3 linked regions of the Notamacropus eugenii genome follow. The protein of the gene in region 2 interacts with the protein of the main gene of each other region in a pairwise test. Links are inferred from orthologs where the notes say so. Each region holds a gene or a part of one and is shown on either strand. Other genes may lie near its edges. The genes, in order: EGFL6, SH3GL2 and ATXN2.

Region 1 (3,748 bases), on a different chromosome or scaffold from region 2:
TACCATTTGGTTTTTTAAATTGTATTTGTTTATTTTTAATTTAGCTTCATTTCCTAAGGTATACCTTTTCCCCCTCCCTGGGCAGCTAGGTGGTGCAGTGCATAGAGTGGTGGGTCTGAAGTCAGGAAAACTCATCTGCTTGAGTTCAAATCTGGCCTTGGACACTTACTAGCTGGGTGACCTTGGGCAAGTCACTTAACCCTGTTTGCCTCAGTTTCCTCATCTGTAAAATGAGCTGGAGAAGGAAATGGCAAACCACACCAGCCAAGATACCTCAAAAGGTGTAATGAAAAGTCAGTCTGACAGGATTGAAATGAATGAACAATAAGCCACTCCCCATCTCTATCAGAAGCAGTTAGGTGGCACAGTGTGTAGAATGCTGTGCTTGGGGTCAGGAAATCCCAGGATGGAATTCTGTTTCACATACTTACTAGTGGTGTGACTTTGGGTAAATCATTTGACCTCTCTCAGCCTCAGTTTCCTCATGATAAAAACGAGCATTATAATATCACCTATCCCTTACAGAGTTGTGAGGATCAAATGACACAATGTATGTAGAGTGTTTTCAAAACATAAAAGTGCTATATAGCTATTATTACCCAATGCCCTGTCCCTTATTGTAAGCTTTTTTTTGGAGGGGGGGGGAGGCAGTTCCACAAAATTAACCAGCACATCCACAGAGAATGACATTATATGTGATGTTACATATGCATAGTTCCCCACCTTTACAAAGAACAGGTTCATTCCCTCATCTCTTCTGTATAAAGCTAGCCTACCATTTATTTTTACTCTTAATCCATCGTGTTATCTGCTTGTTTCTGCTTGTAAATTCCAAGAGATCCAATGGAAATCCTTTGAAAGGAAGGATAGTTTTGTGTAGACTGAAAGATGGTGGTAATGCGATCCAATCGTTTTCTCAGTGCATGGCCTCTTTCCCCAACTAAAATATAAATGCTACAGGACAGTTGATTTTGTGCTATATGTACATATACGAGAGGCTTAGTGTGCGCGCTTAGCACACTATTGGGAACAAGGTGTGCCCTTGTGTTGGTTAAAATGAACTAAACTGAATTGAATTGAATCGAATTGAATTGGACAAGGCTGGTAAGCAGCAAAGAAGGAAAGCACCTTCTAGAGAGAGATGATCGATTATCTGCGAGAGGCGGATCCCAGCCCCAAAGTCTGTAGCCCGCCCTCCTCTCTCACTCACCCCCTCCCCTTTTTCCTATTCCTCAGAAGCGTGGAGAGGACTGGAGGCTGCGGAGTGTGGGGTTCTCTCCCTGTTTTCTGCTGTCCTTACTCCACCTCGGCTGGTGGTCCCGACAGCGCCCCAGCCCCCGGGCTCCGACTCCCCCTTCCCTGCCTGGGGAGGGGCTCCAGCTGCTGGACCTCCAGGGCCGTCCGTCTAGCCAGCTCTGTCGTGCGGCGCCGGTTCGGGAGGAGCAGAGACGTTCTGGTGCCTCTGTCCCTGCGGCCACAGTGCAGAGCATCGCGATCTGGACGTGGAGAAGAAAAAAGAAGGGACTGCGTGGGCTTCCCTGACCACCCTTCCCCGCCTCCTGGCCCGGTGCCCCAGCCCCGTCCTCCACCGCGTCTCCAAGATGCGGGCATCCTGGTGCCTGGGACTGTCCTTCCTGCTCCCCTTGGTTGCAGGTGGTTTTGTTAACACGGCAGCCAGGTGAGTGTGTGTCTACCCAGAAATGGGCTTCGGCGTCCTGAGTTTGCTTTCTTTATTCGGTTCTTTTGTTCCCTTCTAGCTCCCTACCATTTTTTTTTCTTTCTTGCGTCTTTGGAAGTAACCAGTCTGGGAGGGTCCTCGAGTGAATGTCCATTGTCATTTCTTCCTGGGGTCATGTGGTGTTTCTTTCTCTCCTCAGACTCATTCCAATCATTCTCCAGTTCCCTCATTTTCAAAAGGATGCTCTTCACACGAGGAATGTGACGGTTCTGGCGGTATTCAGGGAGACCTGTCTACTGTCTGTAATTCAGAGGACTAGCGTGTGTTTAATTTGTGCTGTTTCATCCTTTATTCAACTGAGCAAAGGCATTGATCAGTTGTTAGTATCTGGTTTGGCGGGGGAGGGACAGGAGAAACTGAGACACCACGCTGATGACCTTTAAGGATTTTTGAGGAAGCAAGCAGACAACTTGTTACCTATATCTTTGATGCTCCTTTGATATCCCTGACCAAACACACTCACACACACACACACACACACACACACACACACACACACACACTTCTGTTCAGCATAATTGCCAGAATTAATATAAAGCCACTGCCCTGGGAACTCAAAATTGGGTAGGTTGACTTAATGACCACAGGTGTTTCCAACCCTAGAAACTTAGGGGAGACCATAAATCTAGAAGCCATCTAGTTCACAGATAAAAGATACTCAGATCTGGCAAGGTTTGAACCCAAGCCCTCTGAATCTGGAATCAATTTTCGTCCTCCTCTCTGCCACATTAGTTCCCAATGCACTATGAAGAGGACTGGACTTGAAATCAAAACTATAGCTTGCAGAATTTGACATAGATTCTCCTTAAGGTACCCTGGAGGTTGCATACTTGGCACATAAGCTTTGAGGGGTTTTTTTTCCATTCAATTCCACTGTAGTAACACAGAGATTCTTAAGTCCTGGTAGAAATTCATGAATTCATGAGTAGAAAGAACATTGGACTCAATGATGGGAAAGTAGAAAGGGAAGAACTTGGATCCAGATACCAGCTACACAATACTTATTAGCCTTGTGACCTTACAGCAGTCACTTAGCCATTTAAGACCTTTAAAAAAAAAAAAGAGTTGGACTAGATGACCTCAAAGGTCCTCTTCCATACATTTGTATGATCCATTTATTCATTTAATAATAATTAGATGCTCTTTTAAGAACTGTGGAAACCAGCATTTATAAGTACCTACTGTGTTTTACACATATTATTTAATTTGATCTCACAACAACCCTAAGAGATAGACATTTTTTATCCCTATTTTACAGTTGAAGAAACTAAGGCAACCAAATGTTAAATGACTTGCCCAGAGCCACACAGCTAGTAAATGTCTAAAGCAGGATTTGAACTCAGGTCTTCTGGACTGTAGACTCAGCACCCTAGGCCCCGTACCACTTAGCTATCTTTTAAATAAAAGGCAAACTATGTTGTTAGAATATTGACTACAGCTTTCTATGACAAAAATATTGACAGACATAGTTTTCATTTAATCTTCAAAAAGAAAAATTTTGTACATGTGTCACTCCAAGGTATGATGGATGATAAATGCTATCTTTGAAGTGAATTAATAGAGTTCCAGGGTTTCACTTTCAAAGTGCTGCTAAATTAAGTTAAAAGCCATAAAACCTCCAAATCAACTAGAGAATATTAAAATGGAGAATCCATGTCAAATTCTACAAGATACAGTTTTCAAGGATGTAAAGTGGATTTATTTGCTTAGTATCAAGTTCACAAGCTGGTATGTTCAGTATCAGCAAGTGGAAGTATCCCTGTTCCAACATGCTTAGAGCTGTCAAGCAATGGTCACCAGCTTTTCAGGAACTGCACAAGGGACCAGATTTTATAAACTCCAGACCTAAAGTGATGGAAAACACATTGACATAGAAGGCAAAGCTGTCTTTGCAGAGAGTTGCTACAAGTTGATTATTTCTTGAGGTTTCACACATTGTATCGCAAACTTCTTCTGCTACATGAAGATGATATTGAGTGTATATTATTTCCATGAAACCTTTCACCATAA
Region 2 (3,748 bases):
GATTAAAGAAGATTGTTGACCCCTCAAAAGTTGTTTTCCTTTCAGAAAAGCAGATATAAAAACCTATGCTAGAAGGCCATCCTGAGTGTGCCAGGGCATTTGCTGATACAACTTTGTATGTGCCCTTGAGAGAGTACATTTCAATTTAGGAAGATGTTTGTACTATCTGTTCTAACTAAATTACCTTATTTCCCCTTTCTAAGGTTAATTAAGTCTGACTGACTAATGGATGTTAGCTGATAATCAGTGGGAAAGTACACTGGTTGGGGCTTGTGAGCTATAGCACTACAAAGACACTCCTAGCCCCCTCAGTTTCTCCTAGAACCTTGAAGGGAGAAACAGCAGCTCCCCTTGGGCTACTCAGACAGCTAGTGTGAATGGCGGTTGGGAGGGTGGCTCTACCTAGAGCATGTGCTTGTCCCAATACAAAGTTAAGATAGTTCTGACCCTCAAGCTGACAAACGGATGCATATCCAAATATCTACAGCTGGTGAGAACAGGGAATGCCCTCATCACCACTCACCTCTTAATTAGTTGATGGAAATGCCTGCCCTTTTTTTATGTCTGTGAAATGAGAGTAGATAATGAGTGAGATCTGAGGGGGCTCTCCTATGAGTTAAATGCTTGGATGTTGGGACATCTATTTTGTCAATGAAGAGACTTTTCTTTTAAAGTTTCCCTCAGTGTGTCACCAATTACAGCCAGCTGTTGCCAAGAAGAACAAAGTGGGTGGCAGCAGTGGGACCTTTGGGCTGACTGGACTTCAGAAGAATTTGGGGAGGGGCTGGTCAGGCTGGCCAGCTATGAAAACACCCAATCAATCACAGAAGTTTGAGCATGGTGTGCTTGAGAGGGCACTGGAACTTACCTTCATGCTGCTGCAGTCCATTCTCCAGCCTTACTTCCCATTGGGTTGGGATCCTCATCTCAGAACTCATTTTCATTCCAGGTGACCTCTCTGACTGGTAGCTCCAGGATCTGACTTCGTCTTGCTAGTTAGTGATTATGGCTTGTTTGCTGGATGGTCAGCTGGATGGTCCTCAATCTAGGGCAAGAACTTCTTAGCCACAGTCTTCCTCTGGTTGTTAAAGGCTGTTAGCAAAGCACCCAGACAGAGAAGCTGAAACCAAGGAGCTGGGTCAAGGGCAACATCCCATTTTCCTCTTTTTTTGAGCATTTTCTAGCTGGGCAAAGTTGTCAGGTAAGTGGCACTGTGGATAGAATGGGGACTTGAGGCTCAAGGGATAGGGCCTAAACCTTTGATTTTGTTGATGTGGGGAGCTATCTATGAGATACCACTCCCTCTACCAGCATTGTCTTCATTGTCATTTATAGTTTAGAGATTTGTCTAGACTTCACAGGGAGGTTAAATAACTCACCAAAAGCCACACAGTCAGTATTTGTCATATCTATCTGAATTTGAGAGAAAAAAGCCAGTGTTGTAAAATGGAGGTCTTTAATTGGAGCAAATGAGTTGCAGCTTGGGGGTCACAAAATACGTGTTGGAGTACTGGTGAAGGGGGCTGGGAACATGGTTAATACGGGATACTAAGGCAGAGGGAACTGCCTGCCTGCAGCTTGGATGGAGATTTACAAAATACGCAGTCTGGGAGAGATTTCTGGTCATCTCCAGGCAATTCATTGGCCTGGGAACGGGGACAAGGTCAGCTTCTGTAAGTTCATAGTCAAGTGTGTTTGTCTGTCTGTCTGAAGCACTGTCTGTCTGCTTCAGACGGATTTTGATTTAAACAATAACCTCCCAGAAACAATCATGGGCAAATCACTCAACCTCTTTGAGCCTCACCTCACGTAAGCTTCCCTACCTGAATGGAAATTCCTTGTGAACAGGAATATTTTCACTTAGTGTATTTGTTTCCTCAGCATCTACTACAGGCCCTGACGCATACTGTCGTTCCTTTTTGATAAATTCTAATTGATTGATTCATCTGTAAAATAGGCACAAAGATAGCTGCATAACTGAAAGTATGTTAGAAACTTTAAAGCGTTATAGAAATGCCAGTTACACTTTTGCTATGTTGGCCCACCATTTGGAGTTTAATCCACGTTTAAAATATTTTTAAAATGTGGTGTTCATAAAGAAAATATATTTTCTGCTCTTTATTGATTATATTTGGTAGCATTATCAAACCTCCATCCACTAGGAAGCTTCTGATGGGTTTTGTGGGTCACAGGTTCTCTTCATTTGAGGATTTCCTATAAGCCTGCAGCAATAAAGTTTAAAGTATTTCTGTTCATAACTGTTGAGCCTAATATGAGTTATCTGAGCAAGTTTGGTTCCCCCCCCCCCCCACGTTGTTATTTACTTATTTTAACTGCTTATTTGAGGGAAGAAGAATCTTTGAAGAGTAAAGCTTCCAAAGAGTAATTCTCAAGGTAGCCTCTAGATGGCAGGCTTTAATAAAGAATGGTTACATTTTAGCATCCTTGGCTCTCCAAACATTTAAACTGCTTGGTTTGCAAATTCTCACTTTTGAATTTCCAGTGTTTATGTTTTCAGAGCCCCCTTGTGTTTCTTAGAGATCTTGTCCCACAGTCTGTTCTGGCTTTCTTGTTTCCCTGTGACACGACCTCTGTGGAGTGGTTCCTGTTCCTTTACGGTTTAGATTAATTAGCCTCCCCCCCGCCCCCCCCCCATTCTGAGATTCTGTGCTAGGAAGTGCACTTCTTAGACAAATTAGCAAGATGGGACAAAAAGTGCAGGATGTCTCAATTATTTACTAGAAATTCAAGGTTCTGAAGAGTCTCATTGTCTTCTCTGACTAAGAGCAGATCTGAAAGACTTGTGGTTGCTTAGGTTCCAACGCAGAGAATCTGAGATGGGGACACAGAGGGCAAGTGAGGGGAGAAGTAGGGCCTCTGGATTCCAAGCCTTGTCATGTTTTAGTACATCATACATCATCTCCAAATAAGTAGAGGCAGCATCTCATTTTTTGAAAGTGTTACAGAATCATTATGTTTATACTTACGCACTGAGCCTTCACTGAGGCATATTCTGATGCCTCATCGTGGTGAGCAGGTAACTGGTTCTCAAAGGCTGTTAGCAAAGCACAAACCTGGAGGTTCTCCTATGCTAGAAAGGCTTCAGGTACAGTTACAGCAGCACAATATATGTTGCTATCTAAAGGCTATCTAGTTCAGTACTCATTACTACTCAGGGTAGCCAATTAATGGTGAATTCTTTGACCTTGAACATTCATAACAGGGAAAAATACAAAAGAACCTTTTGAACTGTGAGCCCTGCCTCTCCTCCTTTTGCTACTATGAAAAGAGGGTAGAGGGTGCTTTGAATTATACAGGTGGGTTGGTTGGTTGTTTTTAAATTTTTTCAAGTTAGGTGTCTCCCTGCCTCACCTTAATTGGAAAGTGCTGTGGCTGCTCATGGGATCTATCCCACTACTAATTGGCACAGGAACTTTGACTTGTACTATTTCCAACCTGGGAAGTTTCACTTCTTCTTAGGCTGCCTGGTGCTTCACCCTTGCAGGGGTGTTCAGCCTGTTGGTGTTGGACTTAATGCAGATACGTGATCGACTTTAGCCTTACTGCAGCTCAGAGCTCCCAAACTCAAGTGATCCACCACTCTGGGGCTCCTTGGCAGCAGGGATTATGGGTGTTTGCCACTGTGCTCAATCCTACAGTTTTTAGATTGTCTATGAACGTTAACTTAACTGGTGATACTTTAAATACGGTATCCTTTCCAGTGAGAGAACATATATACTTCTCACCA
Region 3 (3,748 bases), on a different chromosome or scaffold from region 2:
GATTCCACTCCACAGAACTGAGATCCAGTGGCAGCAGCCTCCTGGCTGCTCCTTTCAGGACACCCCCCTCTACTCCCCAATCTACAGACTATGAGCATTTTCCCTGGCTATCCCCCATGCCTGGAATGCTCTTCCTCACATCCACCTCCTGGCTTCCCATCCTCAGCTGAAAGTCTCAACTTCTGCAAAAAGTCTTTTGCAGACCTCCTTAATCACCACGTCTTCCCTCTGGAGATCATCTCCAATTTACCCTGCATACATCTTGTTTGTACACAGCTACTTGCTTGTAGTCTCCATCTGACTGAGAACCGTAAGAGCAGGGGCTGGCTTTCACCTTCTTCATATCCCCAGAGCGTGGCTCACAGCAGGTGCTGAGCAATACTAACTGATTCCCCTGAAGGTGGGAGACTCAGACTGCAGAATGCTGAATATCCCGTAACAAGTAGTTACTGTGTCCTTTGGTTCTTAGCAACATAGAAAGGGGGTGATGAGGGGGAGGCAAAGATTAAATGTGGGAAACGACTGATGGAAACACAAAAGGCATCAAAATTTTAATTAAAAAAAAATATGGAACCGGATAATAGGCAAAAGCACTTAATTCTGAACGTATCAGTAAGTACTCAAATAATCATTCTGATTGTATTTTTCTGTTTTGAAATTACCCCCTAAGGGATTCTGCAAACTACTCAAAATTCACACTAAAGAGAGGCCACCTTTTATGTGCACAACTGTAGTCAGCAGAACAGGAGTCTCAGACAACAATAAAAGGGACATTTAAGAGTCTACTGTGTGCATAGCATATTGTGCTGTGAAGAAACAAACTACAGTAGAAATTAAAGCCGTTTTAATTAAAAACAAAAAAACCTTTTTTCTGAAAATGAGGTTCTCATTTTCACAGAAAACACTATAATGTACTAATGTTGCACTTTGTCTTTTTACTTACTATGCATAAAGGTCAAACTTTGGTGATCTTTTTCACTACGGTGCAGTCTTACCCACTTTTATCTCCAACTCAGATGAAATAGGGGTAGCCAAACAGCCCTAGGAAATTTGATTTTATTTCTAGCCTCACAAAAGGACTCAGATAATACTGAAAGTGAAGGTGATTCTAAAAGTATTAATAAGAGGTCGGCAGCAAGGATATAAATTCACATGATACAAACCCCGGGACAACATGTTCCAAAAGAAATCTTATGCAGTTCTTGAAAGGATGGGGACCGAAGGACTCTTAAGCAAGGAGAAATCAAAAACTAGCTTACAGCAATGAGGGGCCAAACGAAGGCTCTTACGACAAAGGCCCTAGTGGGGGAAACAGCATTAAACTCTGCTAAGAGAAAACCTCCCGACCGTAGGAAGGAATCCGTGGCACTCCGCTGGTCCCCCCCTCCCCTTCACCCCACCCCTGTGGCCCTCCCACTTCACCCAGGCCGTCAGACCGGCGACCTAACAGAACCCTGGAGCTGGACGCCAGCTTTGAGGTCATCTGGTCCAAGCCCCCACAGGCCACGTCCTGACGCGGGCACGGGGGCTCTCCCCACTCTCCCACCCGGTCTGTTTATAAATATTCCGCCAGACCGACCCCCCTAATGCAGCAGACTGATTTTTAATCGGCTACCTAGGAAGGGATATAAGGAAATGTCTGCTATTTGGATAGTATTTGGAAACTTTTAAATACCTGCGCCCGACTTTCCCGAAGTTTAAAAAGCGTTCACAATCACCCTCGGAATAGCTACGGCCTCATTCATTTGGACTGGCTTTCTTGTTTCAATAACGGGGTAAACCTCCCTTTAAACGGAGCTCCCCAAACATCGAAGGGCTCAAGGTTTGTCCTTTTTTCCCCCGGAAGGGTTAAAGAGATAACTGGGTAGGGCCAAGGAAAAGAGAGCCCACTGCAGTCCCTCGGCCACCCAGGGGCCCGTCTGGCTTTCCGAGCTGAGCCAGGGCCGGGCCGACCCACCCCGGGGCCCTCTCCCTTCGCGGCCAGGCCAACACGTCTCCCAAAGGTTCGGTCGGGACAGTAGGCCCGGGATGACCAGGCGCCACCCAGGGGCCCCGGTGCCCTTGGGAGGCTCGGGCCGCGGGGCCACGACGGCAAGGAGCTGCGGCCCGTGCGGCCGCGGGGCGTTTTCGAGGTGACCGGTCCCCCTCCCCCACTGCGGGGCAGGACGGCCGGGTCCCGGCCGCCCCCTCCTCCTGCGGCTCCCGCTACCCCGCGGGCCCGGCCCATCCCCCCCGCCCGCCCAGGGATGCCCCCCTCCCCAGCCCGCCGGGGGTCCCCCGCACCCACCTGCCCAGGTTCTGCCGCCCTCCACCGGCGCCGCCACCGGCCGCCGACGATGAGGAGGCCGAGGTCGAGGAGGCCGAGGACGTGAGGCCGCCGGGCTTGCGGGCGCCCCCGGGCGCCGCCGCCAGGGCTCCGGGCGCGGGGGGCTGGGCCTGAGCCGGGGGCTGGGCCTGGGCCTGGGCCGGGGGCAGCGCCGGGGCCGGCGGCGGCTGCGGTTGCTGCGGAGGCTGAGGCTGCGGAGGCTGCGGCGGCTGCTGGGGGGGCTGCGGCTTCAGGGACATGCTGCTGACCTGCCCATACACCGAGGGCCGAGCCGGGCCCGGGCGCCTGACGAGAAGCGAGGCCGGGGCCGCGGAGCAGGAGGAGGCCGAGGCCGAGGTCGAGACCGAGGAGGAGGAGCCGGCGGCCGCGAGCCCGAGCCCGAGGGAAGGGAGGGGGCGGGGTGGGGAGGGTCGGGGGCGGGGAAGGCCGCCCGACCGACCGACGACACCGAGTTGCCGGGAGCCGCCGCCGCCGTTGCTACCAAAACAGTCTAAGGCGGGCGGAGGGAGGAGGGAGGAGGGAAGGACCGGCCGGGAGGGGGGAGGGGGACGGGGGCCCGGAGGGGACCTGCCGCGAACGGAACGCGGGGGACGCCTGGGAACAAGCGGCGGCGGAAGGATACCTCCTCCGACCGCGCGCGCTTGCTCGCTCCCTTGTCTGCCGACCCTCAAAAGGAGACACCCCTCTCCTGAACCCAAAGGCCGGTCACACTATAGGAGGAAAGAGCGGAGGAGGGGATGTTCCCCGAAAGCAGGTGTGGGGAGTGGTCCAGGGAGGTCGGACGGAGGGGATTCTTTTCCGGAAGTCGGAGGGGCCGGACAGGAAGGGGAGCGTGAGACGGCACTGCGGCCGGAGCTGAAGCAAGAGCTGGAGGGCCGCACGTGGGGCTCCCGCGGACCGGCCGGCAGTCTCAGAAGGGGCGGTGCCAGAGGGGGCGGGGCCGTAACAGGCCCCGCCTCTCGGACGCGAGCCCGAGCTCAGGGAAGGGGCCGGACTCTCGCCGCCCGACCCCGAGCCCGGGCTGGGGGTTACAGGCCACCCGTCTGAGGAGGGAGAATCCTGACGGGAGGGAGAAGCGGGGGACCCCAAGGGGAAACCCAGGTGAAGACCTGGAGGCCAAGCCTATATTCCGTATTCCAGTTAAGGAGAAAGGCAGCCCCTGGCCAAGGTCACCCCGAGAGATAGCGAGTCCTTGAGTCCTTGTACCCCTGGCTGCCCTCCAGTGTAATAACTAGGAGCATCCCCGTGGGGCTGCGCCCCTCTCCGCAGGGGGCCGCGGGGGCCAGGCCTCCTGAGTCAGCGCCTGCTGGTCCGAAGAAGGTCCGTCATCAAGTTTAGGAAGTGCCTACCCTGTGCCAGGCCCTTTCTAAGAGCTGGGGTCCAAAGAACGTCTGAACATTTATTAATCGAACCCTAGTGCTA

Evidence for each region.
Region 1: the proteins of SH3GL2 (region 2) and EGFL6 interact in a two-hybrid assay, tested with the Homo sapiens proteins (2 studies listed by BioGRID and IntAct). The link is inferred for Notamacropus eugenii from reciprocal best matches to the Homo sapiens genes SH3GL2 and EGFL6.
Region 3: the proteins of SH3GL2 (region 2) and ATXN2 interact in binary tests that used the Homo sapiens proteins (3 or more experiments, as listed by UniProt). The link is inferred for Notamacropus eugenii from reciprocal best matches to the Homo sapiens genes SH3GL2 and ATXN2.

The regions. Positions count from the first base shown.
Region 1 is NC_092876.1:377,419,279-377,423,026, reverse strand, and holds the start of EGFL6 (epidermal growth factor-like protein 6), read left to right. Parts: upstream 1-1,239; 5' UTR 1,240-1,601; coding exon 1,602-1,678; intron 1,679-3,748.
Region 2 is NC_092872.1:25,533,603-25,537,350, reverse strand, and holds the start of SH3GL2 (endophilin-A1), read left to right. Parts: upstream 1-1,519; 5' UTR 1,520-1,582; coding exon 1,583-1,673; intron 1,674-2,987; exon of another isoform or gene 2,988-3,338; intron 3,339-3,748. UniProt on the Homo sapiens protein: Implicated in synaptic vesicle endocytosis. May recruit other proteins to membranes with high curvature. Required for BDNF-dependent dendrite outgrowth.
Region 3 is NC_092875.1:34,612,666-34,616,413, reverse strand, and holds the start of ATXN2 (ataxin-2), read right to left. Parts: upstream 2,918-3,748; 5' UTR 2,566-2,917; coding exon 2,288-2,565; intron 1-2,287. UniProt on the Homo sapiens protein: Involved in EGFR trafficking, acting as negative regulator of endocytic EGFR internalization at the plasma membrane.